Linked DNA regions of Drosophila melanogaster. The protein of the gene in region 2 interacts with the protein of the main gene of each other region in a pairwise test. Each region holds a gene or a part of one and is shown on either strand. Other genes may lie near its edges. The genes, in order: unc-119, CG31637 and CG15580.

What was found.
Region 1: the proteins of CG31637 (region 2) and unc-119 interact in a two-hybrid assay, tested with the Drosophila melanogaster proteins (one large-scale study listed by BioGRID).
Region 3: the proteins of CG31637 (region 2) and CG15580 interact in a two-hybrid assay, tested with the Drosophila melanogaster proteins (one large-scale study listed by BioGRID).

Annotation. Positions count from the first base shown.
Region 1 is NC_004354.4:7,284,311-7,295,402, reverse strand, and holds unc-119 (unc-119), read left to right. Parts: upstream 1-4,104; 5' UTR 4,105-4,610; exon of another isoform or gene 4,611-4,614; intron 4,615-4,725; 5' UTR 4,726-4,837; intron 4,838-5,007; 5' UTR 5,008-5,152; coding exon 5,153-5,658; intron 5,659-5,724; coding exon 5,725-5,897; intron 5,898-6,138; coding exon 6,139-6,257; 3' UTR 6,258-7,036; downstream 7,037-11,092. Other genes in the region: CG2059 (uncharacterized protein), read right to left, coding at 7,354-7,492, 7,557-7,694, 7,763-7,992, 8,058-8,231, 8,305-8,550; CG1677 (uncharacterized protein), read left to right, coding at 10,689-11,092. UniProt on the Drosophila melanogaster protein: Myristoyl-binding protein that acts as a cargo adapter: specifically binds the myristoyl moiety of a subset of N-terminally myristoylated proteins and is required for their localization.
Region 2 is NT_033779.5:6,493,215-6,503,938, reverse strand, and holds the start of CG31637 (uncharacterized protein), read right to left. Parts: upstream 5,293-10,724; 5' UTR 5,064-5,292; coding exon 4,120-5,063; intron 1-4,119. Other genes in the region: CG9550 (uncharacterized protein), read right to left, coding at 5,598-5,922, 5,977-6,153, 6,216-6,805; CG9547 (uncharacterized protein), read left to right, coding at 9,501-9,966, 10,085-10,724; CG31638 (uncharacterized protein), read right to left, coding at 7,874-7,882, 8,071-8,695, 8,835-9,001.
Region 3 is NT_033777.3:6,050,562-6,061,220, forward strand, and holds CG15580 (uncharacterized protein), read right to left. Parts: upstream 6,976-10,659; 5' UTR 6,930-6,975; coding exon 6,619-6,929; intron 6,494-6,618; coding exon 5,648-6,493; intron 5,427-5,647; coding exon 4,847-5,426; intron 4,739-4,846; coding exon 4,244-4,738; 3' UTR 4,151-4,243; downstream 1-4,150.

The DNA.
Region 1 (11,092 bases), on a different chromosome or scaffold from region 2:
GTACGTGGGACATCCAACTGAGCTCCGGAATGGGGTTTGTTTATAGGGCTGGGGTCAACTATCTATGTAAATCCAATTTGGGTCCGATAACGCATGTGCGCTGAACATATGGGGCATAAAGCATGCTGCAAATGCAGCAGGCGGTGGAGAGGTGGTTTTTTTTTTTTTTTGTCGAGAGGAGGTGAACAAATAAAATTTTATTCCTTGGGAGGGCATACAAATAAACTTTCTGGCCCTGCTTGCGGACAGACATTATGTGCGCATTATTTCGAATATATGTATACATATATAGATTAATTATTTCCGAATATTTATGTGTGTACGTCTTTGTTTGGTTCGCATTTGGTTTTTTAGATTGGGAACAGATGCTTTGGTATTTTGTTTTTTTTTTTTTTTACCAAAAAGTATATGCTTATTTGGATGTATTTACTTGTCATTTTGCTGTACAGAAAGTACTGAACGTTATAAGAATTTCTAGCAGGAGAATAACGAATATTCAGGCAATTAAAGGCACTCCGGGACTTGAGCACCGGGTTTCCTTTTCCTTCTGAAGGTCAGAGTTTCAAAAGGGAGCAAGAGCAACCCTTTCAAAGGTAAAGTTCAAGCTCTACAAAATGTGCCCACTGTACGTGTGACTGTGAGTGTTTGCGTATGGGTTTCGGTATGGGTCTCGGTATGGGTTTGAGTTTGAGTTAGAGTTTGAGTTTCGGTTTTGGGATACCTACAATCCGACAGTTCCAACCGTCCCACAATAATGCACTCACCAACACACCAACGCCAACCCATCGAGAATCCATATCAGCATGGAGGAACAATAACAAAACGCCGCAATAACAAAACATTCGTGCCCGGGACAAATGGACAAACGGGCAACCGAAACGGACGGAAAGTTCAGACATGCACACTGGCACACCTACGTTCTTAGAACTACAGGCATGGACAAGAAAATAGGTCTAAGATATTTTATTCAATTGAGATAATACAATAATAATAAGGGTTAAGAACAAGACAACCAGGCGGTACAATCCAAAAAATATTTGATAGTTTATTAGATATTAAAATATTAATTCAATTGCGATGAAACAGGAAAATTTTAAGACAACCATCAAAATTCTTATAGCTTATTGTTGTTATTGAAAACTTCTACTCTTTGGGTGCTATTTAAGTGGCCATTGGTGTGCACTTGCACACAGACGCATTCACCATGTATAAAGGCAGGCCAAACAAACGCGCACAGAGGCGTCGCAGTTGACCGAGGCAGCGACGCGGGCAGAGGCGTCGGCAGAGTCAGGCCAGACAGTCTGTCGCCAGAAAAATCCACACTCACACATGCAGCACTGCACTCACACACACACACACACACACACACACATAGACGGGGCTTGCACTGCGAGAAAAGGGGGGTGTGTTACAAAGGGTATGCCAAAGTTGGCCAGCGGGGTGGGGGGAGTGGTCAGCGAAGGCGTCGACGTCGTTGTCGCTGCCCACTGTTGTTGTATCTCGCCTGAGAAATCGCTCGAAAAGCAAGGCTCAAAGCTAAATTCCATTTAGATTATGCTCTGCGGCTCTTGTGCTTCTTCTTCTTCTTCCTTTCGTTGCACTCAGAAAAAATGTTGATATTACGCAACGTGCAACTACACCTACATCTTTTCATAGAGTGCACGCAGTTTTAAGCATTTTGGTTTTTAGTTATATTCTTTATAGCTGAAGTGCTACTTTTTATTAGTGTAGTAGTATCATCGTGTTTTGTTCAGTGTATCAATTCGTGTTGTTGTTGGCGCTTTTGACGAACTGAACGCGTTGCTTGGGAGGTGTTACTCTATGGAGTGTGCACACACTCACACACACACACGCAATAAACCCCAGCAAAACACACTCTCCGAAACGGCCACTCGATGTGGAGTATGTGTGTGTGTGTGTGGTGTGTTTGTATCTGTGTGTGAGTGCGAGTGCAGTGTGCATTGCATTGCCAGACCGTCCGGCGCGCATAACGTCATCGCCACTTGGAATAGGGTCAGTGGCGTCTTCTGCGAAGGGGATTTCTTATAAAAAGGCACACAAAACAGGCTGCGCAGACGTAACATTTTCCCAAGAAAGTATGCAGTACTTTATAAAATGTGAGCAACGTAATACTATGACCATAAGATCCCATTTATTAGATGCAACAAGCTTTGGAAAATATTTCTAGCCCCCTTTTTTTGTGCCACGCCCCTGTTCGGCCATTCGAGTACGAATATTATCGCCCACGATTTTTGGTTTTTGTTGCTGCTCTACTGTTTGTTTTCGATACCCAGGCACACAGACGCACACACAAACACGCATTGAAGTACACAGGAGGGGGTACTTGAGTTCTATGGCTCGAAAAGTTCTATGGTCCGTCCGTGAAAGAAAGAAATATTCAAACAAATTTCATCAACTAACAATCGAACGTTAAGTTTCATTTGCTATGTAAATGTAAATCGATCGGTGATAAGTCGGATGTAGCTACTATTTGGAAAAGCTTATATACATTAGTATGTATATAAATTCTGAAGAAAACAGGTTAAGTATTTTTGGGTTACCATCCTCTGGGCGAATAAAATTATCCTTAAAAGTGTCCTTTGATATAATTGAATAATATAGAGTTAGTACTTTTAAATTGGCCACCTGCTGCAGTCATTAAAAATTGGTTCGAAAATATTTAATCTCATGGAACAGCAAATTTAACTCAAATGAAACCGAATCCTGCCTATGGCATTTGCGCTGATACAAAAGATGGATTATCCCGCGAATTCCTTGGATCTTTTGTCGACCCTTTCGGCCTGTCAGATGGCATATTCCTCAGGTGCCCGGCTGTCTGCAGATTTTATGTGAGTTTTTGGGGGATAAATCAAGTGAGGGGCGGCGGTGCAAGGGGGGGGGGGTCAGTTTGGAGATCTCCAGTCAAACTGTACTAAAGATAGAGCCGAACACGTTCCCAGTGCTGCCACACAGATACACACCAATACCAATGTAAGAAACAAAAAAAAAAAAAAAAACTACAAAAAAAAAATACAGGAAACGCGGACGCCAATGGAGAAAAAAAAACAGGGGCAGGGGCAGGGGCAGTGGACAGTGGACGGGGGATAAGTGCATATGTGGCCCCTGAAACTTAACACTTCTTTGGCTCCGGCTGCGAATATTAAAATACCCACTTAAGGCCAACAATAACAGCGGCAAGAAGCAGAGAAAATGTGAAAAGGAGGAGCTAGAATTGAACTCAAGTACTTTCGTCTCGCACTGAAAGAAAAAAATACATTTATGTATGAATATGAAAAAAAAAACTATCTTAATATCATAGTGCTATTTTATTTACATGAAATCTATAAACTAAAATAGCGACTCACTAAGCGTGAAAAATCGAAATAGATCTAAATAATATTATAGCCAGCATTTCTCGCAGTGCACAAACATGATCTGGCATTGGCGCCCGTGCGTCTGAATATGGAAATCGAAATGGGTCCGAGTATGGGTGCGTTGTATATGGAATGGGATGGGATGTGGATAGGAGGACACTTGAGTTTTAGGCCGGGCTTATCTGCATTCTAGGCGAAGGGAGGGGAAGCGAAAGGAAAGGAAACCACTCGACGGCGCACTTGAGAAGCGGGAGAAGCAAGCGGCAGTCTGCTGCATGGATATTAACTAATTGTCGGCCACAAAAATGCATGGGAAGGCGATCGCAACACGCCATTTAACACATTTGCACGCTTCCAAAGTGTTTCCTTTTCGAATTTGCTTTGTATATAGTGGTTTACTCTGGCGAGTGACGGGGGTATATGCATTTTATTTTTTAGTTTGGGTTTTCAATTTAAGCTTAAGATGTGAAAATCTATACTTATACTTGTCTATACTCATTATTTCCGATTAAGCTTTCTGCAAACGTTCGCTTACTTTCGGTTATACAATAAATAATGTTAAAAATCTGAATAGCCTTTTTTCTAGATGTAAAATGTAGAATATTTTGAATATTGCGCCAACAGTGTGACCCCTGCTAGAACGCAGAAATGTTTTTTTGCGAGTATGTGGCAACGTTGGTCGTAAGTTTTTCCCCATGCGCGAACGGTCTCACCGATTTCCTGTAATGCATCATCGATAATCTATCGATTGCTGAGTAGTGCAAAAAAAGTGGGCAAAAAAGGTGCAATGTTTAGCGTTTAAGTGCGTTAAGTTGCTTTTGCGGACGACAACAACAACACCAGCAGCATTGCCGGTCAAATTGATCTAATTGATTTTCGGGCAGTGCCAACAGCAACTAAAACCAAATTAATAAATGAATCCCTGCGCATACATAAACATATAAAAACACACACACACACACATACATTCGCATAAAGGACGCGAACCGAAAAGGGAAAAACAAACACAAAGGAAAAAAAAAGGAAAAAGGAGAGCGCAGCTTTTTCAGAAATTGGGTCATTTGTTGTTGTTGTTGTTGTTGTTGCTGCTGTTGCTGGTGATTTTCAAACGAATTTCATTTGTTGCTGTCGTCGTCGGTTCGGTGTTGTTGTTGTTGTTGCTGTTGTTGCAATGGTCGTGGACGTTGTTGTCGCTGACAGCTAAATGTTATGGCAACACTTGCAACCTGAATTCGTGTGGGTAAGTAGTGTTTGCATTTATGTTGAATTTATTTTAACTTATATACCTTATACTTAACTTATTTTTGTGCTTTTCGCCAAATAACTATTCATATTTGGCAAAAATTAATAGTGAGGAGCGGAAAGCGAAAGGATAATAGGGTAGCGGAGACGAAGCCTTATATTTCCACCAGAAAATCCTGGCACAATTTATGACAACTCTACACTTGTGTGTGTTTGTGTTGGTGAGTAACTTAACAACTATGACTTCTTTTTTTTTTTTTTGCTATGTTAAAAAAAAAATGTGATATTTCATTATTCAGTTTAGTTTGAAGTAATAGAAATTCAAAAGTATTTGTGCTATATTTTATTATTTACTCCCTAATAACCAATGCCTATTCCTTTCTATTCGCAGAGTGAGACAGCGGAGTAGCTTCTTCAAATCAAAGGATACCACTGCAGCAGCCATCCAGCCAGGAGCCTTAAAAAAGCTGTTCAGCTTGAGAAATCCGAAACGCAGACTATAGACAAATAATACCACCAGATTCATTCCGTGCACAATGAGCGTGGTGGGTAAGCAACTAAATCCGGTGCAATCCTCCGGTGCAGGCGCAGTGACAACGTCTTCCTCCGCGGCCGCAGGATCCTCTTCTTCGAACAGTGGAGTGGAGGCCAACGGCGGCAGTGGAGGATCGTCGGGAGCTGCAGCAGCGGGCGCTGGTGCCTCCGGTGATGCCAAACGGCCTGCGGAGTCTTCCAGCGTGACTCCCGACGAGGTGCTCCATCTGACCAAGATCACGGACGACTATCTCTGCTCCGCCAATGCAAATGTGTTCGAGATTGATTTCACGCGGTTCAAGATTCGCGACCTGGAGAGCGGCGCTGTGCTCTTCGAGATCGCCAAACCGCCGAGTGAACAATATCCGGAAGGACTGTCCTCGGATGAAACCATGCTGGCGGCTGCCGAGAAATTGTCACTGGATGACACTGCCGATCCAAATGCCGGACGCTATGTGCGCTATCAGTTCACACCGGCATTTCTCAACCTCAAAACAGTGGGAGCCACGTAGGTTATACAGTATTTGCATTTGTTTTAAATGCCTCTCAATTTGTAAGTTTCCCTTATTTGCAGTGTGGAATTCACTGTGGGCAGCCAGCCGCTTAATAATTTTCGTATGATCGAACGCCACTTCTTCCGCGATCGCCTGCTAAAGACGTTTGACTTTGAGTTCGGCTTTTGCTTTCCATTTTCGAAGAATACGGTTGAGCACATCTACGAGTTTCCTAACCTTCCACCCGACCTAGGTGAGCAATTTTTACATAATCCCAGCCAGCATGACACGCAATTGAAAGTTGCTGCCAAAAGTTGAAGGGGTTTGTGGGTCAAGGTCGTTTACGATTTGCGCCTGTGAGATGAGGCTTCTATTGGTCAGATTGCGAGCAGCTATCATGGTTTTTATTTTTTGTTATCGGTTTGTAGGATGTGGACTTATTAATGAAATGCAATTCACATAAATATGTTCGTTCGTTTTCCATTTTTTTTTAGTTGCTGAGATGATATCGAGCCCCTTTGAGACGCGCTCGGACAGCTTTTACTTTGTGGGAAACCGACTCGTCATGCACAACAAAGCCGACTACGCCTACGATGGCGGCAATATAGTCTAGAAACTCAACTATAATGGAACTGCAACTAGAGCAAAACTAATAACTAAAGAACTAGAAACTACAGAAGCTGTGAGACAAAATCAATGACTTGTCACACACACACACACACGAAACACCCACTCAATGTCAACAATCACACTCACAAACACATCGAATCGAATCGAGGAATATTATCACAGCCATTTTAGCCTTAGCACACCAAAGTTTTACCCACCATTCCTGTTTGATGTATTTAGCATCAAGATATGATCTCCTGCAAACGGAAACTAACACACAAACACAACAACAACACACTGAAGCACGCGGATTGTGTTCATTTATCAATGATTTCCACTTTGACTATATAATTTTAAGTGCTATGTGATTTCCCTTGATTTATATATGTATTTGTACACACTTATTTAATCCTAATAAGTAAGGACACTCCACACACACACCCAACAAGAAACAACAAATACATATATATAAAATACGTACGTATACACACACGCACACACAGAACTTATGAGAAGCGAATTGGAAATTTTCAAAAAAAAAAAATTGAGGAAAATCCATTTGCCGTCAATTTTTGTATGCAGCATACGAAATCATACGAAATCTATCAGCTTCTTCATGGCATTTTTTTCGTGTCTGTGTATGTATATTTTTTAAACAAAAACCAAATGGAAAAAGACGAACGTAACTGGAAATCCAAAAAAAAAAAAACACTAACGATTACACGCCGAACAAGAATGATAAATTAAATTACATTTTAAATGTACATACACCACTATAAATTGAAACTTTTCTAAGGGGGTTAAATCGAGGGCATTTCGTGCACTAAAGGTGCTTAAGAAATTTATTATATTCTGAAAAATCATCAAGTTCAGAACGCTTATATCAAAAAAAAAAATATATATATTGCTATCCCGCTCTTTTCGGTGAAGATTCTTGAAGATCTGCGTAGATCGTTGAAGAATGTCTTCTCGAGTTCTGAAGTGAAATTAATTTGAATTCCCGTTCCCAAGAAAAACAAAGCGTTCACTTTCCAATTTAGCTAAAGTCGATCTACGCGATTGACTTCTTTGTACATTTGGTTAAAATATCAAAATTTGGTCTACTCAGTTCTATTCAGGAACTCGCTGACTATTGTTAGAAACTCCTGCGGCTTTTCAAAGTGCACTAAATGTCCGGCATCCAGCCAGTGGATCTCAGAATTGGGAAACATTTTCTGTATCTGTGGCCATTGCTCGCGTCTAATAAAGATGGCAAAAAGATTCAATTAGTTTAGTTTACTTAGCACCTCGGGATCCAAGTTACCTCATGTAAGGTGATCGCGTGCCGCAAATGAACGTAGTGGGTCCCGTGTACGGCGGCAGTTCCTCCAAATTACTCTGATATTTGTCGAAGCGGGTGAGGAATTCACGAAGAACATGGGCATTGCAGGCCCAAGAGAAACTATAGGAAGATTATCTCATTTTAAAGCGGTTCCCAAAAAAGGCCAAATACATATGTGGCAAACTTACGCGCCGGTGTCAGGATTTTTTCGGAGATTCAGCATGATAAAGTCAACGGTCTCGTCTTCGGTGGCTTTCAGTAGTTTTTCCCGTGCAATTTTCCTGCCCTCAGACATGGACATGCTTGGCGAAAGGTCCAGGGAGACCATCGCGTCGAAAATTTCCGTCATCTCGCCCGTGGAACGGGGCACGCTAATTGGCGATATGTCCACCACTATCAAACGTTCCACCAACTCGGGCTATGATAATGGAAAAATGATTGTTTAACATTTAACTCAGTTTGTGCATAAGGCGCAACACTTACATATTTTCGAGCGAAGTACATCATGGACCTGCCGCCCATGCTGTGACCCATGCAGGCGGCATTCGGATGACTGCGCTGCTCCATAAACAAACGCAAATCCTCGCTCATCGCTTTGGAATTGTGGACACTCGAATGTGGACTCTCGCCATGATTCCTCACATCGATGGCGTACACCTGTAGGTTAAAATAAATACACATTGGCTTGAGCATTGATACTTTGGCTAAACGCATAAATTGGTAAGCTCACCTTTCGGGAAACTTTTCGCACCAGAGCCTTGCTAATTCCTCGCCAATTTTGCTTGGAACCAAAGAGTCCATGATATGTGAGCAGTGGTGGACTCGTCTCTGGATTCTCGCCGGTGTACGAATCGAAGCTTAGTTCAACGGGATCCGGTATTTCCGAGGAGTACTCCCTTCTGACCACCAATTGGGTTCGCAGGATCTTTCCCGCGGGAAATGGAAGTGAACGTAACGATTTCGTCAGGCGCTGCATTTGGTGGCCCCAGTGTGTACACACGCCACCGGCGGGAAAACTAATTGGGCAGTGGTATGTTGCCGCCGAGGGGGGTTCGTTGCTTTGCTAAAGTTGCGTAATTATTGTTAATTTGCAGCAATTTCGATAAATTTCAACATTTTGCCAATTGTGTACGGAGTCCAGCTGACCGGTGTTTTATTTTTCGACAACATGTAGTTTGGCAATTGTCAAGGGCGTAGATGAAAAAACTAATTATACAAATTTTAAGTCATGAATATAAATATACAATATTTTTTGTAGTCGTTGAAAATGGTTTGGTTATAAATAGATTAGAAACACGTTTTTCTTATAAATTTATCTTTGACAATTAACCGTTATCATACTCTGTAATTTTTTGCATACACCTAAGCCATTTTATCATAAATAAGCACATAAAATATGTGCAAGTATTTACCAAATATTAATGGGGCTCTTAACCCCTTACGACCCCTTCCAAACGATGGCTCTGTTGACAAAGTGGCAACACTGGCGCGCAAATATCTCGATGCTAGCCATGGCATGAACCATTTTGGATATTTACTTAGTCATGTCTGTGCGTCAGCCACATAAGCTAAGATAACATCACCGACTAGGCACGCACGCTTTTCGCCGTATTTCCGGGCACGCCATGCACAGTCACACTGGCAGCTGCCATATTCTTTAGGCAAACGTTTTCTGTCGGAAACAGTTTTTTCATTAACACAAAAAAAGGCATCCAGAGCATTTGCTGTAGCACAAAAACATCGAATTTCCAACGCTACCAGGTAAACCAGTCGCCGCCGAGCCGCCGGAAAAACGGGCTTTCCAGTTCGTCTTTAGCGGTAAAAAGATTGAAGGAGGAAAGCGCGGCGCTGACGTCGGCAGCGGTAGAGGCAGCGCAGCGGCGCTCTTGCTCGCATTCACACTACTCAAACATAGGTAAGCAGCAACAAGAAATCAAGCATATTGTCAAAATCAGAGCAACAAATTGATATATTTTCAAGTATTCTATTTTTCCCCTCCAAAAAAAAAAAAAAAAAAAAAAAAATGAAATGAAAACTGAACTAGAGAATGTAAAAAAGTTAAGTTGCAAAAGTAACACAAAAAACCAGTTAAACGTTCAAGTAAAAGTCAGTAAGTGAATAAAAGTGGTTAAAGTTGTTAAGAAAATTCAATTTCGGTCGCGAAAAGTGCGAAAAAGTCCGCAAAAATGCAAATACTTAACTCTCCTCTGTGTGTGCGCCTGTGTGTGTGTGCGTGTCCTTAACTGTGTGTGTGAGAGGGAAAGAGAGCGCCAGAATAGAAAGAATTTTTCAAATTGCACTGCGCTTACAATCTCGCTCTCCCTCGCTCTTTGTTGTCCCTCGTTCGCGTCAAGAAAATTAATCAAAAATAAAGTATAAAGAGAAATAAAAAAAGAAAAAAAGATACTGGCACACACACAATATAATCAATTAATTAAAAAACATAAAAGCTTATAAAAGAAATGAAGGTAAGAACCCCACTAAAAGTTAAAAGCAAAAAAAAAAAAACTTATTCTGTCATTCCCACAAATATAAAAAAAATCCTATATCAAAATCGATTGTTATCGCGTTATCGGAGCTATCGGCATTTGTTTGGGGGCTTTTGACCTTGACTTTCGTTTCTATCCCCTTTCTATTAAGGCCATCCCCTATCTGCTCCTCCTCCTATTCACAATTATTAGTTATCGACCCAGTGCGATGCTCGCCTCGATTATTGCGATTACATAATATTAGTTCTATCGATTTTCTTATCGATTCTTTTGTAATTGACAATTAGAATACCCACGTGGTTACAATCAACATGAATCGAAACTGGACAGACAAATGTCTTTATTCCTTGCCGACTTAGTATACTTGCTGTTTCGATTCAAAACTTGTCCACTCAATTAACCGGTAATCGTCGCCAGAAGCCCCCAATAAAATATCGACTTGCTTCGCTAGTTTTGCCCCGGTGACATTCCCCTCCCACCAGGACGTGGTGGCTTTTAATCGTCTGAGCCTTGTCCAAAGCGTTGAGTATATTTAGCCATGCCAGAAAAACTAATTCTCGATCTGTTCGAATCTCCTGCAGAAACGCCAAGGAACTAGTTGGTCGCACCGGCGTAAGGCGAACCCATGGTCCTTGACATGGAATCGGACGATTCTCATGCCAGTTCGGCGTCCAATTCCTCGGAGTCACGGTCGAATTCGCCCACCAACGACAAGGATGAAGTTGTCGCGGATCATGGTGGCGAATCGCCTGGCGGAGGTGGCGACCCCATACTGGATCGGTCCGATCGAGCCCCCTCCACCAGTAGCTCATCGTCCAACTCCAGTTCCAGTTCGAATCGCAGTGACCTGTCCAAGAAGCAGAAGAAGAGCTCGAGCAGCAGCAGCGGAAGTGGCAGTGGCAGTGGCAGTAGCTCTTCCAGCGGCTCCTCTAGCGAGGATGAGGGCGATCAGGAACCGGAACAGGAGGTGCAGCGTCTTTCCGAGCAGCAACGGGAGCAGCAGCAGCATTCGCCGATAAATGAGCGAGA
Region 2 (10,724 bases):
CAAGCCGCAGTACAAGCTACGATTTTAGAAATTATTTCTACGCCCAAACACCGAAAAAAAAGCGAAACTTCCAGTGCATGTAGAAGTGGGTAAAAAAAAATCAATCACTTTCACTGCCGGCCAAGAGAGTTTGTCATAGTCAAGTTTCTGGTCGGGTATACCCCCCCCCCCTCCCCATTCACCATCAGCGTATTGCCACCGACAATTTTTTTGATTTTGCTGCTTTTCACCCATTTACGCCAAGCCGATCTCTACACGTACCAAAACAGCAATAGTAGCGGGCAAAAAATAAAAATAAATAAATAAGAAAAAGGTTTGGCTTAGCCAGCAACGAAACCCGTTTCGCTTTTTTTGCAAATGCAATAAGATACAAAGTTTGGGGCACACACAAAAAATGGAAAAAAATATAGACTAGCACACTCAATGCTCTTTCCACACTGACTGACAGACTAGTTATATTTCGGTCAAATGCGATTTGATAACATGTCAGCTGTTTTCGAAAAGAAAGTTCAGATTAATATACTCGTTTGAGCATGAGCTACACTAGCTCTACATGCTCCAATTTCAATTAGCTAGTCAAAAAAAAGAAAACTACTATCTTTATGCTAAGTGTGAATAGTGCACATCTTTTGTTTGTGCCTAGTGAATATATCTACTTCTATAAAGAAATCCATACACCCGCATTGCGCATGAAAACTATTCTACTTGAACGTTCACTGAACTCACGATCGCTCTCTTTCGCACCGTCCATAGCCGTCTCTCTCTCTCTCTCTCTCTTTTTGACAAAACTGTCAAGTCAAAAGGTTCAAAACGAGATAAACGGCCCAGAATGAGGTCTATGGCGCAATGGGCTTCCGAGAACCGGGTCTTACAGCAGCCAAAAACCGCGGGGTCTTGACGTCTAGCGGCTTCTTCTTCCGTCTCGTTCTCATATTGTTTGCTGGCTGTTTTGGCCCGCTTTAAAACGCAGCGCGGAAAAGTTTTTGAGTTAATGGCCACTTTGCTCATTATAAGCCAACTAAAACTGACTGGGCCCAAACTCTTTGTGGCTTCTGCGGTTCTTTCGGCTCGTTCGGCTCTCTTTGGTTCTTTTGCCAGATGTTGAATGCAACTATTTTCGCCATCTTCCGACTGTGCGGCCTGTGGTGGGCGCATTCAATGCTCACAATTTTAATCTACTTGCTGGCAAAAGCCTCTCAAAGTTAGCGGCCACAAAACCGTAGCGCGCCGGGGAAAACTAAATGAAAAGGCTTTTCCAACAGTGTGAAGAAATTTAATAAAACCCGACCTTAAGCTGAACAATTTTCATTAAAATTATGTTTTAGTTACACTTATTGTGAAATGATTTAATAATAAAATAATACAATTTACATTCCGTGATTGCTTCAAACCGTTCAGTGCTCAATGGAAGTAGTAGTAATGATAAATTTTGCAATTCTCGTGACTCATTGACTTATAAATATACAACTGCCCCATTTGGTAGTTCATTTCATTAGCCACATTTTCTTTCTTATCGCAACTGAGTGGCGGGAAGGAGACCATGAAAAATCACATAAAAATAATGTGTGATTTATAAATGAAATGCTCATTGGGCATTAAATTTAAGAGACCGTCCAACACGGCGTATACGCGATAATTGTGGGAAAGCTTCGCCCAGTTTCCCCCCCAAAAAACAAAATTCTGGGCACACCCAGCCGGCACAAGACTTGGCCAATCGACAATTAGAAGCCAAGTTAGCGGTCGCTTAGTGACTCACCAAACACGGCTTTTCGCCCCACAATGCTCGCACTGACCCAAATTGTGGCTAAGTGTGTGGCTGGCTGGGATGATGTTGGCCCGCAGGCAAACATAAATCCAAGTGCTGGTCAGCATTTCCGGAATTTTGATGCATTTCCCAGCGGCCAGCGGCCAGCGGGGCCAAGTTAATAGAGTGTGAAAGAATTTTTACTGCAGTCCGCGAAGGAGAGTACAAAGAATTGAGTGAGAGGCGCAACTTAAGTGCAAAGTGCTTATACAAAGCTAATTTTATGAAGCACTTTTCCATTTGAAATAGAGCTTAAAGTTATCGGAAAACAAACAAAGCTGCAGTTTTAACTACTATCTGCAAGTCTTGGTTACTAATATAAGCACAAAAAAATAAGATAATAAGCTTGCTCTTTTAATTAAGGTAAACAAGTTAAGATAAAAGCATATAGTCAGCATCGAAATGGTTGAAAATAGATTAGGAGGAGGAGTCGAACTAGGAAAACAAAGTTAGCAGGGCAAAAGAGAAATTAAACCTTAAGAGTTTGTAAATTTAGTGACCCAACTTCCGGCTAAAGTATACGAAGTCAGCTCATGATTTAGTGTGTTAATTGTTTTTCGCTTTTCAGAGGAGGCGGAGATGCCAGTAAATAACCATTAAAAGACATCAAACATTTCTTTTGACATTTATGTGGCACTATAAATGACATTTTCCACTCAGACATTTTATCTCTACCAATTCGTGTATTTATTGAACAGAAATCTGTGCACAAATGTCAGATACGTTCTCATTGATTGAAATTGTTTTTTATATCCTTTGCATAACATTGACACAACTCAGCCCACACAAAAGCCGAATCTAATACATATCCAGAATGTCCTTACAAAAAGGAATGATCGGAGCATGTAATCGAAACCACAAAAGCCAGTGGAGCAGGATTGGGTTTGGGGGACTGGGTTCTGGCGGGCAAGGAACCGAAACCCCACATCAATCAAATACATTTTCGTTTTCTGTTTACTTGTTGTCGCTGGTTTGTTTAGCTAGAGATTGCTGTACACTAATTTTATCGATTTCTGCTGCTGTTGTTGGCCGGCTTACATTTTAAATGGGAAATTATGTAAATGAAACTTTTGTTTGCGGCATTTGGGGGAATGCCCCAACGAGATTTCAAATCGATTGTATTGCCCAAGGATTTGCTCTCTGTTTTCACTCAGTCGAAAGTAAACACCCTGAGAATTTCAGGTGATACAATAACAATACAATCTCGAAAAAGTGGAGGCGAAACGATTACAAATTCGGTATCTCAGATTCTAATCACAGCGTTATCAGTTAAGGTTCCCAAGAAATACAATTTAAATGGTAATCCCCACTTTATAAATGAGTGTTCATAGCTGACAAATAGTATTGGGCTTCTGTAAAATTATTTTAATTGTTCTTTCAAATTCGTAAGTTCAAGAAAAAAGTATACCGAAATTTAGAACTAGTTTTTAATCGCTAAATAACTCTGAACAAACCTTCATAGCCTATCCCAGTATCATATCACTATCGTGTTTGAAAATTTCGGAAAGCCCAATAAGTAATTAGGGTAACAAACCAGAACGATAACGTGATAGCAGTTGAAAATTTATAATAAAAAAGTACAGACAATTTAAAGTCTATTGTTGAAAAGTAAGCATTAATGAAACTAATGGCCAAAATGCCAATTGAACCTTTTTTTATACAAGATTGATTGCTGTTTGTATATTTCTTTATAAACTAAGACTAAAGACGAAGACTTTCAATTTAAAATAAACAACATTTTCATATACAATACATAAGCAATTAGATAAGACGCATAAGTTGACTGGCCGAGGAAATTTAACTGGCAAAACTAAGAAAATACTATAAGCATTTGCCTTTCGAAACTTATCACCAATGAGGGCCTTGGCCTGCCTCGAAAGATAAAAATGGGATGCAAAGAAACTGCTGATGCTATTGAATGAAATACTGACTTAGTCTGGATGGGGAATTTAACAAAGCAATAACGATAAAGACTTGCTGCTGTATGTTGCAAACTGATAAATCTATAATTTCATAATGAAGTCACTACGTTTATTGAAACTGATGTGACACGCAAAAGAAGGACTAAAGACTAAGACAAAAGTTGATTCCCTCGATTATTAGATAGTTAATTAGTATTCACGCTTCCGGGTAAGTAGGTAATCATGTGGCATGTTTAAAGACTTCAAATAATTCGGCACGAGTCAATGCAGTAAAGAGCTTTCTCCTAAGACATCACACTCCAGGGTCCCCGAATAAACAATCCGCCTGAGATGCGTTGCATATCGCATGCCAGTTGGCTTTCACTTTCTACCCGGATGTCTGGGCCCACTCACCTTTGGTCCTCGAGCAGCTTTTCGGCCTGGGCGAGTCGCAGGCGGACGGTCTTCATGCTCTGGATGGGGAAGAGGCGGCAGAAGCGCGTGAGGAAGGCTGGACGCCAGCAGAAGCGCGGGAACTCCCGGCAGACGTCCCACAGTCGGGTGTTGTGCTCGAACAGATAGGTGTGCGTCTTGCCGAAGTTCAGATAGTCGATCATGTCGGCGTAGTCGCAGTTGAGCAGGTTCTTCAGGTTCTGCACGGCCAGCTCCTGATCGTCAGGATCGCGGATCTGCTTGATGCCGAAGTCGAGCAGCGGCTCATAGTGATAGAAGTTGCCCGGTATCGAGTTGAGAATGTCACCCAGGAAGGTGGAGCCGGAGCGCCATGAGGTGACCACCACACTGCGCACCGGGGTGCCGTTCGTCTCCGGCGTCATGTCCGTCAGACGCTCGGCGCCGCCGCGCGGATACTCGAAGTTCTCCATTTCGGCCAGGATGCGCGACCGTTGAGCCGACAGGACATCCACTATAGTAGCTGTCAGATTGTAGACGGCCGTCTGCGACGACTGCTGCTGCTGCTGCAATTGCTGCTGGAAGCGATCGTAGAAGGCGCTGCGCGCCAGCGAATTGGATGGACCGCCATCTACGGACGCGCCCTGATCCCGCCCAGCCGACTGATTAAACGGCGTGGTCAGCGGACGGTGCTGGGTGGTGGCGATCAGCAGCAGGATGCACAGGCTGCTCACGCCGCAGATGCCGATCAGATTGGCCCTGCGCGACATCCGGCTGCGGCGCCGCTTTCCGTTCAAGCTGAGTCGCTGCTTAGCGCGTGTCCTGCCGGTATCGACGTTCGACGGGTCCTGCGGGCCAAGCAGGGAGCACGCCTCCAAGTCCGCGCTCAGTTCCAGGTGCTGCTGCTCCTCCGTGCTGCTGCTGCTGCTGCCAATGCCCGTGCTCATTGGTCGGTCGGTTGGTCACTTGCTAATTGCTGGTGGTGATCACTTGTGTGCTATACTCGCACTCGCTCCCACACGCACATAATTATCGGCGCGCCCTCAACTCGAGCGCATTGCAGTTGCTTGCTGCGGAAGTCGCCGCGTCGGAGTTATATCTTTGTTTTCCGTATTTATATCTCGATTTTCCGCGACGCGATGCGAACGAAACGATTGACAACAACAAAGTGACCGTTGCGGGCAGGTGGAAAGATGCCGCGGCGAGCAGTGAAGTCGCGTATAACAACTATATCCTAAATATTCCATGAAGTCACAGTGTACTAGTCACTACATTTGGTGTGAAACCTGGCTGGCCATGTAGCACAGACTCGAACCAATTCGGAGAGTTTTAATTCAGATTCAAAAACATTTTTTTAAAAGCATTTAAAAGTTCTGATGAGCATAGATCAAATTTACATATTTAACCCCTCGAAATATACCTTAAATAAAGCTTTCATATCAAACCCCTGGCCCACTACACCCCTAACATTTGCCCAGAAATTAATAGGCTTTGTCCATAATTGGCTGGAAAGATTCCGGGGAAAAGTGATTGAAGTCCTGAATGGAGCGATACCCCCACAAATCCATTGCCTGACCGCACACGTCCTGTACAGCCCCAATATCGTCCACCATCATTTCGCTTATCCACTCGAAGGCGGACTGGCTGGAAAGCTCCTTCCAGCGGGAGGACTGAAAAAAGTAGCCACTGCGCGGATGCATTTTCTGAATCCTGGTCCTGTTTCGTTCCAAGGGCAATCCGTAAAAGTCGAATACTTGTTTGATACTCTCATCGGGCTGTAGGAACAAGTCCTCATAACGTATAATGCTGTGAAATAGGCATATAAATAAAGAGATATATAAGAGTTACACAAAACCTTACCTAAAACGCTGTGGATAGGCTTGGGTGAGGGTCTCGACCATTTGATAATCACTGACCATGTCGCCGCAAAGTTCCTGTGCCTCGCAATCCCTCTCATCCGAACACCACTTGTTATTCATTCGGGAATATATGGTGCCCCGAGGATCGCGAACAAGCAGCATGATGTTCAGATTTAGGCTAGAAATGTGGAATTTTAAGTAAAACGATTAATTTTCAATAGCTGCCACCACTCCACTCACTCTTTGCGTTCCAGAAGGGAAGCCAAAAGATTCAGCCGCAAGTTGTACACCGCCATGTTGATGAATGGGTACAGCTTGCAGACGGCGGCCATGGTCTCGGGATCCCAGCACGCCTCCTGGCTGTAAGAGCGACAGATCTTGGCCTGTGCGCCATAGAAGCGCCGAAAGACCGGCGATCGCATTCCCCATTGGATCATTTCCGCAGACTTGTTGTAGTCGCAGTTGTACAGCGCCGCCAGTTCATCCAAGGCGCGATGGTGCTCCTTCGCGGCAATGGAACGGCTCTCGTAGGCGATCAGTGGAGCGTAGTGCTGATAGCAGCCCGGCTGATGGGCCAGGTTGTCCAGCAGGGTGAGGGCACCCGATCCCCGGAATGTGACCAGCATTGAGCGGATTGGCTGGCCGCCGGCATCCAGAGTGAGGTTTCTGATGTCGCCCAAGTGGCTGGTGCTGTAGGAGACCAGTGAACGTTGCAGTGTCACCGGATCCGGCATCAGCATGGGCAAAAGGAAGAATATGAAGAGTACGTAGGTCGTATAGACGCCCACGCAAGCGACGGTTAATTTTGAAGTACGCGAAAGTGAAACCATGACTGAAATTTTAAGTTTATTCCAATTTTCCCACTCTTCCAATTTTGTATAATGTCTGAACGATTGAAGTTTGAAGATCTGACAGAAGGTACTGTGCTTCCACGAAGACGATCAAAAAGCAGGACAGGATTTGCAAGAAGGGTTTATCTTGTAACATGCTACCTTTATTGGCATATCATTTGTATTTTATATATAATTTTAATAGTTAATAAATTGTTATTTATCAATAACTAAAATACTAATATTGCTATGTTATAATACGTAAATATTTTGAGTTCCGATTTGTTTAATGTGTATATATATTTTTTTGTAAAAGATCAACTATGCCGCTGAATATCGATAGACTTTTGAAAAACTAAAAGAATTTCGGACTAGGCAACTGCAAAAATATCGAAATATGTAGTGAGAATTACTTGTATAATTTCCAATAATGTCGATTAATAAATAGCAGCATTTCTATCAATGCTTTCCTAAATCTCATACAATTTCTTTAGATTTCTGGCACTAAATGCTATTCCGCAAACATCGAACCTGTATTATGCTTCAATACGTATATATGTCGGTATATCTGTTATTAAGTCTGTTCATTTTTAGTAAAGGCAAGGGTTTCCGATGAGGATGCAAGGATGTGAAGGAGAAATCCTCCTAACAACCGTCTTAGCTGCGGGTTAAGCTCATAAGAATATGGCCAGCTAGATGAGTTTCAAACGTTATCCTTAAATTACTTGGAATATTGAAGTTATGAAAGTGGCTAACTGGTGATCTGATGATTGGAATTAGTCGCGAAATTAAGAATATCTTAGTTTATAAGTAAGTATTTGTTCATGAACAATCGTTCTGCAATAGTTATGCTTATAAAAAAAACTGGGGCACCGGTTGGTAAAAGGCCCAAATATAAACTAGGAATGCGCATTATATTTGGGACTGTTGTCCAACCAACTTTAAAGTACTTGCGAATTAATACTTAAGGTTAATACCATTAATGTCTCTCAAATGTCTTTTGTCTGGTTATCCTAGTCGCTGTTACCCTCCGTCTCGTCGTCCAGCAGCAAGCTTGTCGAACCATAGCTACGGAGTCTGAAATTTAAATCACAAATAGTTATTATATTTACCTAGAATTATACATTGATTAGTAAAACCAATACATGCAGTAAAAGGATTAGTGATGCTAAAACAAATCAAACCAATAATGTGATGAACACAATAACTAACAAAGCATTAGTTTACTCAAGTGATAACAATCGTTTCTGCTCCTCTAATCTCACCTCATCGTCGGACACCTTGAGACCATCTAGATTAATGCTGTTTCTCGCATATCCAGCGCCTGCAGACTGCTCCTTCTCGTACAGCTGTCGGTTTAGCTCATCCTTACTGGAAACGGAGCTGCTGCCTCCATTTGTGGTTCCCTTCAGGGGCAGCGCTAGATTCGCTCGACTGGCACTGCTGCCTGCGCTGCCATAACGTCCGTTTCCGGATCGCTGCCTCTGGTGATGATGATGGTGCTGTCCGTGAGGATTATCGAATTTCTGCTTGGCCCGCTCGAACTCCAGATTCCGTGACTTCGACTCAAATATATTCTCCTCCAGATGCGTGGGCTTGGCATCAAAAAAAGCAGCTGCTGCCGCTGCCGCCGCCGCTGCAGATGCCGCAGCACTACTCTGCTGCTGCTGCAGGAGCGTTCGTTCCGTGTGACTAGATCTCTTTACGGAAGCAGCATGATGCATAGCGGCATCGCTGCCATTGTGGGAGCTCCTCAAACCTGCCTGCGAGTCATCAAAGATCTGGCGAAGATCATTGATATTCGGCAGACAGTCGTTGGGCAGCTCCACGGCAATCTTATTCCTCAATTGCACCCCGCCCATGCCCCGCAGCTGGGGACTGGGAGCACGTCTTTTTCGTTGGGTTAAGCGTGGGTTAGGAGTTAGGTTATTAGTCAAGCCAGCACCAGTTGAAAAGTTAGTGGTTATTAGAGTTAGTCCACAGACTTAGCGGTATGCAAATCTAAATGTTTCTTTCGAACTGATCTTACCTATTCTGGAGGTGCTGAATCTGCACCTGTAATCCTTCCGTCTGACCCACCAGCTCATCGTTGGAACGCTGCAAGCGGCGCACTTGGTTAACGGCCGAATCCAGTTCGTCCTCAGCACCAGCTAACTCCCGCTTCAGCTCCTCCACACGCTGACGCAGACGCTTCACCTGCAGGAAAATAGAGAAAAGTAGTGATGTAGCTACATATGTGGATTCAGATTGGTATATTACATATTTGTTCTGAACGCATAAGATGCATCTGTACCCAAAACTCGAAGCACAAAGAGCAAGGGGGCGTGCCTTCCAGTCTTCAAACACAACTGATAAGCAGACGACCCCCGCCAAGTGGTGATAACGCTTAAAATGGAAAAATATTTCCTTCCACACTCGCTTCACTCTTGGTTTCTATCGTCAAGTGAAATATAAGCGCGATAGTGCGAAAAATTTAGAACCCGCAGATTAAGATCGGGCATAACAACAATATTAAAGCGAGGTAAACAAAGTTGGCGAAGAAGAGCGAAGAGAGCGCGCGAAGAGCGGGCAGCCAAAAGCTCTCGCTGTAGATTTAAGCTTTCTTCAGTCTCTCGCCGAACGTCGAATCGAGCAGCTGTTCCGTGGAGAACCGGCTGATCACTTCCAACAGAAAAGACAGAACCGAATCGGAATTATGATTGCGCAAAGTGTAATCAGCAAACTGCGACCGTGTGCCCGCCGCTTGGCCAGCACGAGCTCCAAAGCCGCAGCTCCCAAATTCAACTGGCAGGATCCGCTGAATTTGGAGAGCCAATTGACCGAGGAAGAGGTGGCCATTCGGGATGCGTTCCGTGGATACTGTCAGGCCGAGCTGCAGCCGCGCGTCAAGATGGCCAATCGCCTGGAGACGTTCGACAAGAAAATTATGGAGGAGATCGGCAGTCTGGGTGTCCTCGGCTGCACCATTAAGGGATACGGCTGCGCCGGAGTCTCTAGCGTTGCCTACGGCTTGCTCACCCGCGAGGTGGAGCGCGTGGACTCCGCTTATCGGTCTGCTGTCAGTGTCCAGAGCTCGCTGGCCATGGGCGCCATCTACGACTTTGGATCCGAGGAGCAGAAGCAACGCTATTTGCCCAGCATGGCGGAGGGCAAGCTGATTGGTGAGTGCCAAATGAATAAAATCATATTTTAATGAAATATTGAGTGAATTATATAAAGTCCCGTAGTTTATATGTGTTCTCTTTAAACGAATCTCAATTTCTTTACATATTTATTCAGGTGCCTTTGGCCTAACTGAACCCAACCACGGTAGTGACCCCGCTGGCATGGAGACCCGTGCCAAGTACGATAGCAAAAGCAAGACATACATCCTGAACGGATCTAAGACGTGGATTACTAGTGCGCCCATCGCAGACGTCATAGTCGTATGGGCAAAATGCGAGGATGGCAAGGTACGCGGCTTCCTGGTGGATCGCAAGATATCCGGCAAGGGTTTGGAGACGCCAAAGATCGAGGGCAAGTTCTCTCTGCGTGCTTCGCCCACGGGTATGATCCTGATGGACGAGGTCCGTGTGCCAGAGGAGCAGTTGCTACCCAATGTGGCCGGCTTTAGTGGACCCTTCAGCTGTCTGAACAACGCTCGCTATGGAATCGCGTGGGGAGCCCTGGGAGCAGCTGAAACCTGCGTGGAGATTGCTCGCCAGTATACACTGGATCGCAAACAATTCGGTCGTCCTTTGGCTGCAAATCAGTTGATCCAAAAGAAGCTGGCCGATGCCATCACAGAGATTGCGTTGGGTCTGCAGGCTTGCCTGCATGTGGGTCGCCTCAAGGATCAGAAGCTGCACACGCCCGACATGATTTCCCTTCTAAAGCGAAACAATACTGGCAAATCGCTTGATATAGCGCGCCAAATGAG
Region 3 (10,659 bases), on a different chromosome or scaffold from region 2:
CCTTTTTGTAATCACACACACTCACTGGAATGGTTGTGACCGCCATTTGTTGTTTGGACGCCGGACCGTCGGGTTGATTTGGCTTTTAGTTTGCTCTGTTCCCCCCGAGATTTTCCGCCTTTGTGCCATAAAAAGAGTTTCCATCCGAGGCTCCGGGTGCGAGTCCCAAGTTTTGCATAGTTTAAGGCTTTTAGTTTTAGGCATTCGGCACGACAACTTTCTGATGCCAGAAAGCTGGGACATCTTGTGCCGCTCGGTGTTAATATGATGAGCATTCTTTTGGCCCCCATTTCCCCGTTGAGGTGATGGCAAATTGCATTCCCGTGGGATGTTTGCACGGAATCAATACAATATTGGGATCGACTCGGAAAAGTAATTGCAAATGTTTGCAAAATTGCTATTTGATGACGGAAGTGCAATGCATTTCCCGTCTGCGCAGTCTGCATTTTTCGCTTGCAGCCGTACGTCGTGCGTCTGTGTGGAAATGGAGTGGGGTGCCTCTCACCTTTAATGGACGGACAGGTGTAGGTGGAAACGTGAAAATTTTGTGATGGAAGCAACAGTTGGCTTGGATAAAGTGACACTCGGCTTATGTGTTTGTACACTGCTTAAAATTTTTAATTCAGTGTTAGCTGATAGTTTTAAAGGTCTCGATTGCAACTAATCATATAATTTAACTTTAAGATAAGCCAATCGAGACACGAATAAAACGATATTTTTAAATATTATTACTTTGAATAAATATGCAAATGTTATGCTAAGCATAGATATATTTTTATATCTATAATTTATTTAGAAATTTTCAACCGACCACCTGAAATTCTTCCTCAAGTGAAAATCTCTTGGCCTATTTGCCGTTCATTCCTGCTAAAGGTGTTGCCTTGCAAATAAAATGAACTTGAATTGCCATATTTACGCGAAATATTTGCGCATTTCCTTAATCATTTCAAGAGGCAAGCGGAGCGGCAGTGAAAACAACTTGCAACGTGGACACACACATATGCGAGATGTGCGAATATATATTAAAGCGCATATTTATTTACCTGAATGGATGACCAGCGATTACAGAATCCCAGTTGGAGGGCCAACCGAACCGATGCATTTGCGATGCAGCTGCAAGTGCAACATTTCACTGTCACTTATGCATGTCCGCTTGTCATTTAAGCACAGTTTGACTCGGGACCATACATATATGCAAGTGCAAGTGCTCCAATGTGAATGATCGGCGAAGGCATATATGTATGTATGTTTGTATGTTGTTTTATTAACGACTGGCAGCGAACTGAAGGCTTATGGTCCCTGCCGGTCTGCTGATGGGTCCAGTGAATTAAATTGTAAAGATTTCTCTTGCTCTCAAAGGCCTCCCTTTTGATTTTTTGATGTGCCTGCATGCCGAGCCCCCATTCGGTGCACCGATTTAAATTAATTCCCCGGCAGATTATCGCCATTACACCGACTTAATGTACACATCAAATTAACGATGTGCCAAGACAATGCAATAAGTTTTGAGTCACTCTGGCATCCTTCGGATGCAATCTGTTTGCCAGTATATGTGAGGCATTTCTTAAATTCCGCTGTGCAATTAACTCATTCATCGTCACATTAAAGTGGTGGCCTCGAACGTGCTTATCAACCAGAACGGCTTAATAAAACTATTTTAATTCGTTAAGAAATTGGGTGTTTAAAAAGCACCACACTTTTGAGGTAAAATAAAATATAAAGCTTATTTAATATGGGCTTAATGGGCGAAAACCATTCCTTCCCAAACCACAATAGGTTTAAATGATTAACTCTATTTCACTAATTGGATTTGATTCTTAGTTCACGGGAGGGGTTTGCTATTAATAGCATAAATATTTGACCCCATATCAAGCTGTAAATGAAAATTAAATATAACTGAAATATTCAACAAGTGCAAAATTTGATGGGTACTTTAAAAGAAGCCAGCTGCTCGGACTTATCACGCTTCGGTCAGTCAGGGAGAATAAATCTCACGGATTCCCCTCCGCCATTTAGCAGATACGTCGATTCGCTGGGAAAGCATTCATTAAACTGACAAATCCGGGAGAAACAAAGCGCGAAACTTGGCTGGCAGTGCGTAATTGACTTGCTGCTGGACCCCACAAGCCCGATCCAATGGAGAATGTCTGATGGGAGTGCTAAAAGTTACGTCCTTGTCATAGTTTTATTTGTGTCCGCCCCTCCAAGTCCAAAGATGCCTTCAACTTGTGGCTGCGTTGCGATTCCTTCTTGACTTTTAATACCCTTGGTGAGGCGTTTGGCAAACTTCTTTAAGCTACAATTGCATGTTTGTTGCCCCAAAATATATTATGATGTTTGAAATGTGGAATAATGGAAAGATAAGATCAGATAGGATAATAAGTAATTGGTAAAAAAAAATAACAATAAATGTTGGCAAATTTCTATACACTTATTTATATTCATTTTATATATATATATATATTTTACATTTTGATGTATTCAGGAATGACCACTTCCTAAACTAAAGGCTTTCGTTTTCTTTCAACAAACACTAGCATTCACTGTATTTTGGTAGAGGATCAGAAATCCAAGCCCCACTGTAAGCTCATGCTTCCGTCTTTTTTTTGTATCTATTTCGTAGACTTTTTTCGGCGCTTACTTACGATAACTTTATGACGCTTATCGCTACAAATGTGCTTGTATCTGGGCACTCTCTGCGTATCTCTGTATCTGTATCTTTATTTCGCCAGCGAGTACATTCCGAGCGCGCCACATAAAAGTAAAGTGTAGCCAAGTTGATTCCGCCGGGGGGCTGGAAAGTGGGTGGCTGGCTGTGAATGGTGGGGAAGTTCCGGGGAGCAGAAGCAGGAGCAGGAGCAGGAAACCAGCTTTACTCCTAAGTAACTTATGCCATAATTTCACCCGATCCCACAACCCGACAAAACCCAAAAACGCTGGCCACACGGCCGTCGCCTCGTAATCGCAAAAAGGAGTCGTCTGGCAAATATTATTTTTTATATTTATTTGACTTTTTTCGCCCTTGCTGCTTAATGTTTATTATGAATGTTACTCGTGAGCGTATTTAGTTAATTTTATTTCACACAAGAGAAGTCTGAAAAAGTCAGGCGACTCCGATTCCGCCGGATTGTTGGCCCATCTCTTTCCTTTACTTTAGCCCTTACGGACTCCAGTCGAGTGCTGGCTGAAAATTAAGTTAACACCATCAGTTGGGTCTATGAATGTGTATCTGCGGCTGGGCAAATTAGAAGCCAAACATGGCGAAAAGGCAGCCGCTTATCTGCGTTAAGTAGATGAGAAAAGTTTGTGGCTCGGCGCGTTGATAAGTTGAGTTACCAGCGCACATATATCTTTCATGGGATCCTGTCAAAATGGGGCCGTGAACTCATACCCAACCCCTCCGCGCTTTCCTTCCTTTCCTTTAGCCCCCTCGATATATGTTACCCCACTTCCCTGGAAACGTCTCCCAATTGCAAGATAGACACACATTACCTCAGGCGAACCGGCATATGCATTAATTTGTTTATACTCGCTGAGGTTTGGCTTTGTTAACAAGACGAACTTCTAAGCACTGTTCGAGCTTCTTTCTTTGCACTGAAAAAGCAGATATATCTTGTTTAGAAAAACTTTAAAAGAAATGAAGCCTTCCAATAAAATCACCGCTAGTTAACATTGGAAATTAAGTCTTCAAATGAAGTAATATGAATTGAAAAATTCTTTTAACTAAAGTGTTAAAAGGATTTAACATGCTGTTTTTAGGACTGGTGTTTTAAGTGCTTTCTAGTTTGTTTTATCAACATGGAAATTATACTATTTTTTCCGAGTGTACGCCCACGATTTTATGGAATTGACTGTGGAGCTTGGAAGGCAGAAGTAGCCAGGGGAAGTGGCATTAAATTGGAGACACTGTTGCCCAAATCTCCGCTGCTTAAATGCAAACTGCTCAACTTTGTTGCACTTGCTGTGCTCTGCAATGACCTTCGGTCGAGGTGTGGCCCCCGGAATTGTGGGCGTGGCTCCAAGGCGAACACGTTGCCAGCGACTTAATTAGATCTCAGTTTATGCCAGCGCGGCACTTTATGGCGAAGGTTTAAAGTGACCATTAGGTCGAATGACATTCCAAGCCCTCGAGAATGATAGGGACTATGTTGGACTGCTAAGTGGTGCGTTTAATGCTTTGAAAATATACTCAGAGTACAATGTTATGCAATGTACAATTGTAGGTGGTGAAAAGGGCTACAAATTAGGGAGTTTTGTTCCTTTGCAGGTAGAAAAAGCGATTGCCAGGGCCTGGCAGAAAGACAGACTTCCGGAACTGGTCCAGATCGAACTTGTTGGGTTCGAAAACAAATGGTTCTGTCTTTCCATTTTGAGAGGGGTGCGAATCCTTTGAAGTGTGCGATTCCCTCACTTCAGGCGCTGTCGGCTGGTTCCACCGAGCCAACATTGCCCAGATGTCGCCCTCCTCCTCGACCTCCTTCTTCTCAACGACCACCTCCGGAATGGATTCCTTGCTGGAGCTCGAGAACTTCGGCCGCACCTCCGTGCACCCCTTCCGCCGGGCGAAATCCTCCTCGATTCGCTGGACAATCGGATGGCGGCGCTCCTTGACCACCTTACACAGATTCTCGCCGTGGTGGAGGTTTTCATGAATGTAGTTATTCCGACGCACTATCATGTCCACTTCGAATTCCTGGTCGAAGCTCAGCTCACATTCCCGGAAGTCGGCGTATAGGATCTTAGGATAGGAATGTAAGTTCAATACTCAGTTAAAAATGATCTTCAGCACCCCTTTCGCAAAAGTGGTCATTATCAGCGATCCAACCTAATTCAATGTTATACTTACTCGGGTATTCTTTTCCAGGGATCTCAGTATTTGATTCCCTTGCGAGATGCCAATGTTGATGGCGGCCATTTCGAGGCTCATCAGAGGAGTGTGGCTGCGCAGGAGGGTTCCTATATCACGGGAAAACGAACCCAGGGTGGTGTTGATCCCCGAAATGTTGAGGGCCCACACATGGGGGGTTCCGATAATACACGTTATGAGCGAATGCAGGGCCAATTCATTAAGCGGATTGTGAGCCAGGCCCAGATACTCCAAAACCCCCACTTGCGATTGGCTCAACGCCTCGCCCAGCACAATTGCACAATTGGCGCCCAATTTGTTGTGTTCCAGCTGGATACTGCGGTACATCAAAGGGCGCTTTAGCAAATAGGCCAGGCCTTCGCTGCACTCATCCGTCATTTGGTCATAACCAAAATCCACCTCATCAAGGGTGTCTAAGTTCTGAAGGGCACGGGTCAGGATACGAAACTTCTTCATACTCAGGCGACTGTTTCGAAGCCTGAAGGTCTTGAGGCTCGGTAAGTATTTCAGACCTTTGCTAAGACGAACCATATCACTGTCTGAGAACTTCATATAACGGCTGTAAGGTACAAGTTAAGTTAAGTTTAAGCTAGCAATTTTAATTTAAATGCTGGTGGTAGGCGATGCAGCTGTAGACTCTTGGCGCTTTTAGAACTCTACTTCACATGTATTTATTTGGTTCCATTTATCTCAGAGAAAACATGTTATACAAATCGTGTACAGCACGTTTCACTTCTTCGATGTTGTTTCTTACCATAACATTCTAATTTAAGAGCTTACCTTTGATAGTCTTTTACATCAGGTGGTCCCAAAAACTCCAGCGTCAGAGACATCATATTTTCAAAATATCGTACAAATCCCAGATCAATGTGATGACAATGGTCCTCCGGATAGTCATACCGCTTGATCCGCTCCAGCAGCAGCTGCTTGTTGCGCTTGTCCGGTTTTGTGTCCTCGTCATCACCTTCTTCTGGAGCAACGTTTATGCTGAACACGTCTCGAATGGGCGGTTCCTTCTTCTTTTTCTTCTTTTTCTTGCCCGATTGATCCGCATTCTTCAAGGCGTCCAGTTTCTCCTGGCGCTTCCTCTTGCGCTCCTTGCGATCCTCCCGTTTCCTAGCAATGGCATCCCGAGCCTGCTGGCGGTTGGCGTTGCGCAGATGTCGCGCATTCCGGCGAATTGTGTCCTCGTTCTCGGTTTCCGCACGCCAGAAAGTAATAGCTGCCTCGCTGCTGGAACTACTAGACTTGTGCTCCTCCTCGCCCTCGTCCATTTCCGTATCCGGCTCATCGCTAGATATCTCCTCCTCGTCGGATGACTCCGAGGATATATCCTCTTCAGGCTCGCTCTCCAAGTGCTTAATGAAGGCATAGTCGGGCAGAGCTTGCAGCTTGCGGATGTGCATGGAGTTGACATACTGCCAAACAATTTCAGCCAACTGAGCCAGCCTTCTCTGCGGCTTCACGTTCACAGGACATGATTCAACCTGCTCCACAAACTTCCGGCTCACACCCTCAGCCTTCCAGTCGAACTCGTTCCAGCGCTTCAGGTGCAACGTTTTGTCCAAAGTCTTGCTTAGTACGACGCGTCGCCAAAATCGTTGATCCTCGATCAAATAGCAATCTCTTTGAAATATATATAAAGTTATTAGGGTTTGTAACCATAGTAAATAACGATATAAAGTTAGTGGCGTCAAATGTTAAATTATAGGTTATGTAATGAAAATACTTGTATCCGTTTCGTTACATACCTCAAAGGCAGCTCCACATCCAGTGCGTCGTAAAATATCCTCATAAGCTGGGGACTCGCCTGCAAAGTTGGAGATATGCCTCGAATGCCCAGCTTGGCCAGACTCTTTACGCTCAGATTGACTAAAGTGTTCAAGTTTCCCTCTATAAAGGCCTCCGCAAAAATCTCGCGATTCCGTTCGCTGTATAGGTTCAAGGTCTGATGAGAGGGCTTAAAAAGCTCATATGTGGCCAGAAGGAGGGGATCGGTGGGAGCCCGGAATTTCTGAGCATAGTGCGGTTGCACAACCTCCTCATCATCTTCAAAGTCCATATGGAGTTATTTTCGAGTATGTTTGTTTGTGCGTTGAAAGTCTTTTTTTTTGAAGTTTGTTTCTGAAAGTGATCGATAAGTATAACATGGTTTTAACCCATGTGTTCCAGTGCACCTTAATACATTTATGGAAGTGCCGTTTGTCTATCTTCATACTCCAATGAACATGTTTTATGTTTTAGTTATCTCGCACCTGCCAAACGTACTTCCTCATTAAAAACTGTCCGGTTTTCATTTAAGACACTCTAAATCCCGACCCGAGTGCGTAACAAATGTTTACAACGGCTAATTTAAGAAAACTCGCCTAAGATATTTTCCACTTACGGCGCTCTTTAAGCGTTTGCTAATATTTGCTGCTAATGTCTCGCAAGCACTTGCCAAGCACTCGAAGCAAATTTAAATTAAGCTAACCTAATTGAGAAGCGAAGAGCAGTTTCTTTTTGTGGCCAGCCCCGCTTCGCCCGCCCCGTTCCATTCCGTTTTGGCCAATATTCAGCGCTTTGTTTTGATGGCGAAGCTGCCAGGAGCTTCACCTTGCCGGCTATTTTTCTACCTAATGAAATAAAAATAGATGTTGTTAGAGCTGCTCGCTGAGTGTGCTCGTCCTGTCCGGGTGCCTTTGTGCCTGGATCGGAGATGGCCCCCAGTTTGGAAGTGGTTTCCATAGTGCATGTAGCTGCTCCTGCCAACAAAGACGCTGCACTTAAGAAAACCAAACGACTTTGTATCAATTCTTGTGACCAGGACATATAAAATATTTATATTTTTAATGCATATTTATTATTATTTAATTATAGTGGTACTGTTGATAAGCTATAATATTTTCCCGGAAGAGCTGTTACTTCCTACCTATGTGGGCTATATTCCAGGATGTATCATATAATAAAATGTTTAGTTTTAAAGTTGTAAGGAAATAATTTGGCACGGTGTGCACCTATAGCATTCCTGGCTCTGCAAAGCTTTGTGAATATGCTCAACTTGGAGTATTTCTTCAGAGCAAGTGGAGGAGCCCCAGGTCCCCAGCTCCCAGTACAAATTAAGTGCATGCCAGGACGAAATTCGCCATCCAGCCCACCACTACACACAACACAACCACCGACATCGTCGTTGGTCCTTTTCTGTGAACGACAACTGCATTGCTAAGTGGAAGTTCGACCATGACTTTTGCTTTCGCTTCGTCAATCACCTTTTTATCTGGAAGGACATTACCAAGCCAGCTCAACTCGGATTCGGTCTTACCAACTTGTCCTTCCTCGCATGTCCTTCTCGGACGTGAATGTATGTGTGTATGTGTGTGCCCCAAAATTTATTACAACCTTTGGGAATTCTTTTAAGTAGTTGCTCGATTCAAAATAATTTTCCATTTATCACCGTGATAACAAAACAGTTTTCCCCCAGCCGCAAACCAGAGCGAAAATGGCAAAATAACATCAGAAGCGCGGACATTATGAGTGGGTCGGTGTTAGGTGGAGAAAACTTCACTGCGTGGATGGAGTGTGGATGGGGGCTTGGGGACGGAGGCGTGGCAATGGCTTGGCCAAAATAAAGTGCTCTTCGCAAATCTCGCTGCCGTTGTAGTCGTCCTGGGAGTTGAGCTGAAGACTGGCTGCGGTCGTTAGGGAGTCCGACTTGTCCGACTGGCTCTGATGATAAATGCCGGGCAGCAGGTGATTTAAAATAATTTCGGCCAGCGCGCGAAAAGTATATGTTGCCGGCGCTGTTGTTTTCAAATTTTTGAAATTTACGAGCTGCCGTTCGTCTCACGGCAGAGTTTTGCCTTTCCCCTGAGGCGAAAAGACCAAAAAGTTGGCGCGATTGCTTAACATGTTTGCAACACTGGCTCCGGGGACGATCTAAACCGGAAATGACGCTGCCTCACAAATAGAAATACAATGTAAGTTTCAGTCGCGACACGATGGAGTTTCCCTTCTCTGGTTTCGCTAATGCCACAAAAGAGTTTAACCCTAACTTTGCTTTTGCATTTGCCGCTTTCCTGGCCGGTTGCATTTTTTAAGCATTTTTGGCTTGTTGACCTTACAAAGCCCACGTCAGAGGCAGAGGTACTGGGTGAAATGTAGGGCTCCAATCGCAGCTGAGTGTGCAGGTAGGCCACGGCCAGACGCCTTGCATCTTTCATGGCTGCGGTTCGAAACTTTCATTTGTGTTCGAGCAAAGTTTGATGAACTAGTCCGGCATTGAGGGTGTGCACTTAGGAAAACCTATATCCCCATTTTTTACAAGGGATATGCGGAAAAAGGAATACACAACTGGCAGCGATTCTTTTAAATTTTAAAGAATTGAACTTACACTGGAAACGCATTTTTGAACAATTCATTGTTATTATATTCAACTTAAAGGCAACGGGCAGATGCAGTGCGAAAATTATGTTCTCAGCCAGTGGGCAGCGCGTGTTGCGCCATTGAGCCCACAGGATCTGCAGGATGCGCGATCCCGAGGAGCAGAGAGAAACTGGACAGGCCAGAGGCAACCGAGTGCATTTGCATAATTCACAAAGTTTCCATGCATATTGGTCTAGTTTTTGATAGTGTTTACTATTTTTTACCAAGACTTCCCACTTCCTCTTTATTAAGTAATCATTTTAAGGGCACCACGACGTTGCATTTGTTTTTAATGCTCGAGTTCTAGGAATTCGTACGTTATACGTTGTCCTCAGACCTGTACCGCAAATATTTGATGAGGCTAGGACAGTTTCTCTACCAAGTGGTAATATTGGTTTATTGCTGCATTGAGTCGAGTGCTCGATAAATAGCTCTCAAGTCGTAGATGTAAGCGATGCCTTGTTTACGCAGCTCCTTGTCGGTCGAAACCCTTCATTTGGGCCATATTTTGCCGTGTTTAACATGCTTTCTATGCAGATTGTTATGGGTTCCCCGCACTGTGGGGAGACGTAGACCCTTCGGAACTCGACATAAAATCTAACGACATCGGAGCCGTTCGATACTGGCTGTCGGCAACATTTACATACTTTCGGAGGGAATTAAAATTCAGCCAAAAACAAAAGGACAAACGGAAAGAATCCATGGAAAATGGCAAAAGTTTAGCATAAACTTTTGCCGCTTTACATGCAAAACTTGCAATTGGCAGTGGCCGAGGCGAACATGTTTGCCATCCCGGGACTGGAACTGCTGCTGCAACAAAGTTTCCGTAAGCCGATAGGGTTCTTTGTTTTAACGACTTAGTTTGCGGTCGGTCGAGGCTTTTGCCGCTTCCCTTGCGAAGTCGGTGAAGTCGGCCAAGTTCCACCGATTCTCGCTTGTCACTCCGAATCCGATCTCTGACGAGGGCACTCGAAATGTCCCCATGTGGACAATCGAAAGCTGAGCTCTATCGAATGTTTCGCTTCAACGTGCTTTGTGGCTTCGAGGAAGTGCAATGTTGTAGTTAATTTCAAGCGCTGCACACACACCGCGCAGCCAAAGACAGGTGCATGTGTAGTACACATGCAAAAATAGTCACATGTGGCGCATCTTTTTTTCATCATCAAACCTGATGCAATATAATCTCCTTAGCCGCAACGCATTTGAAATGTCATGCTCGTTGTCCCCACTGATGAGGGTCGCAGAATAGCAGCTGACGCACACCGAGGACGAGAACACAGAAGGCTCTGTGGGTACAGTTGCGGTCAAAATTTTAGGTAAGGAAATACTATCATTTAACTTCAACTCTCTAATTTAAAAATCAATTAACATCAAGCTTATTATGACTGATC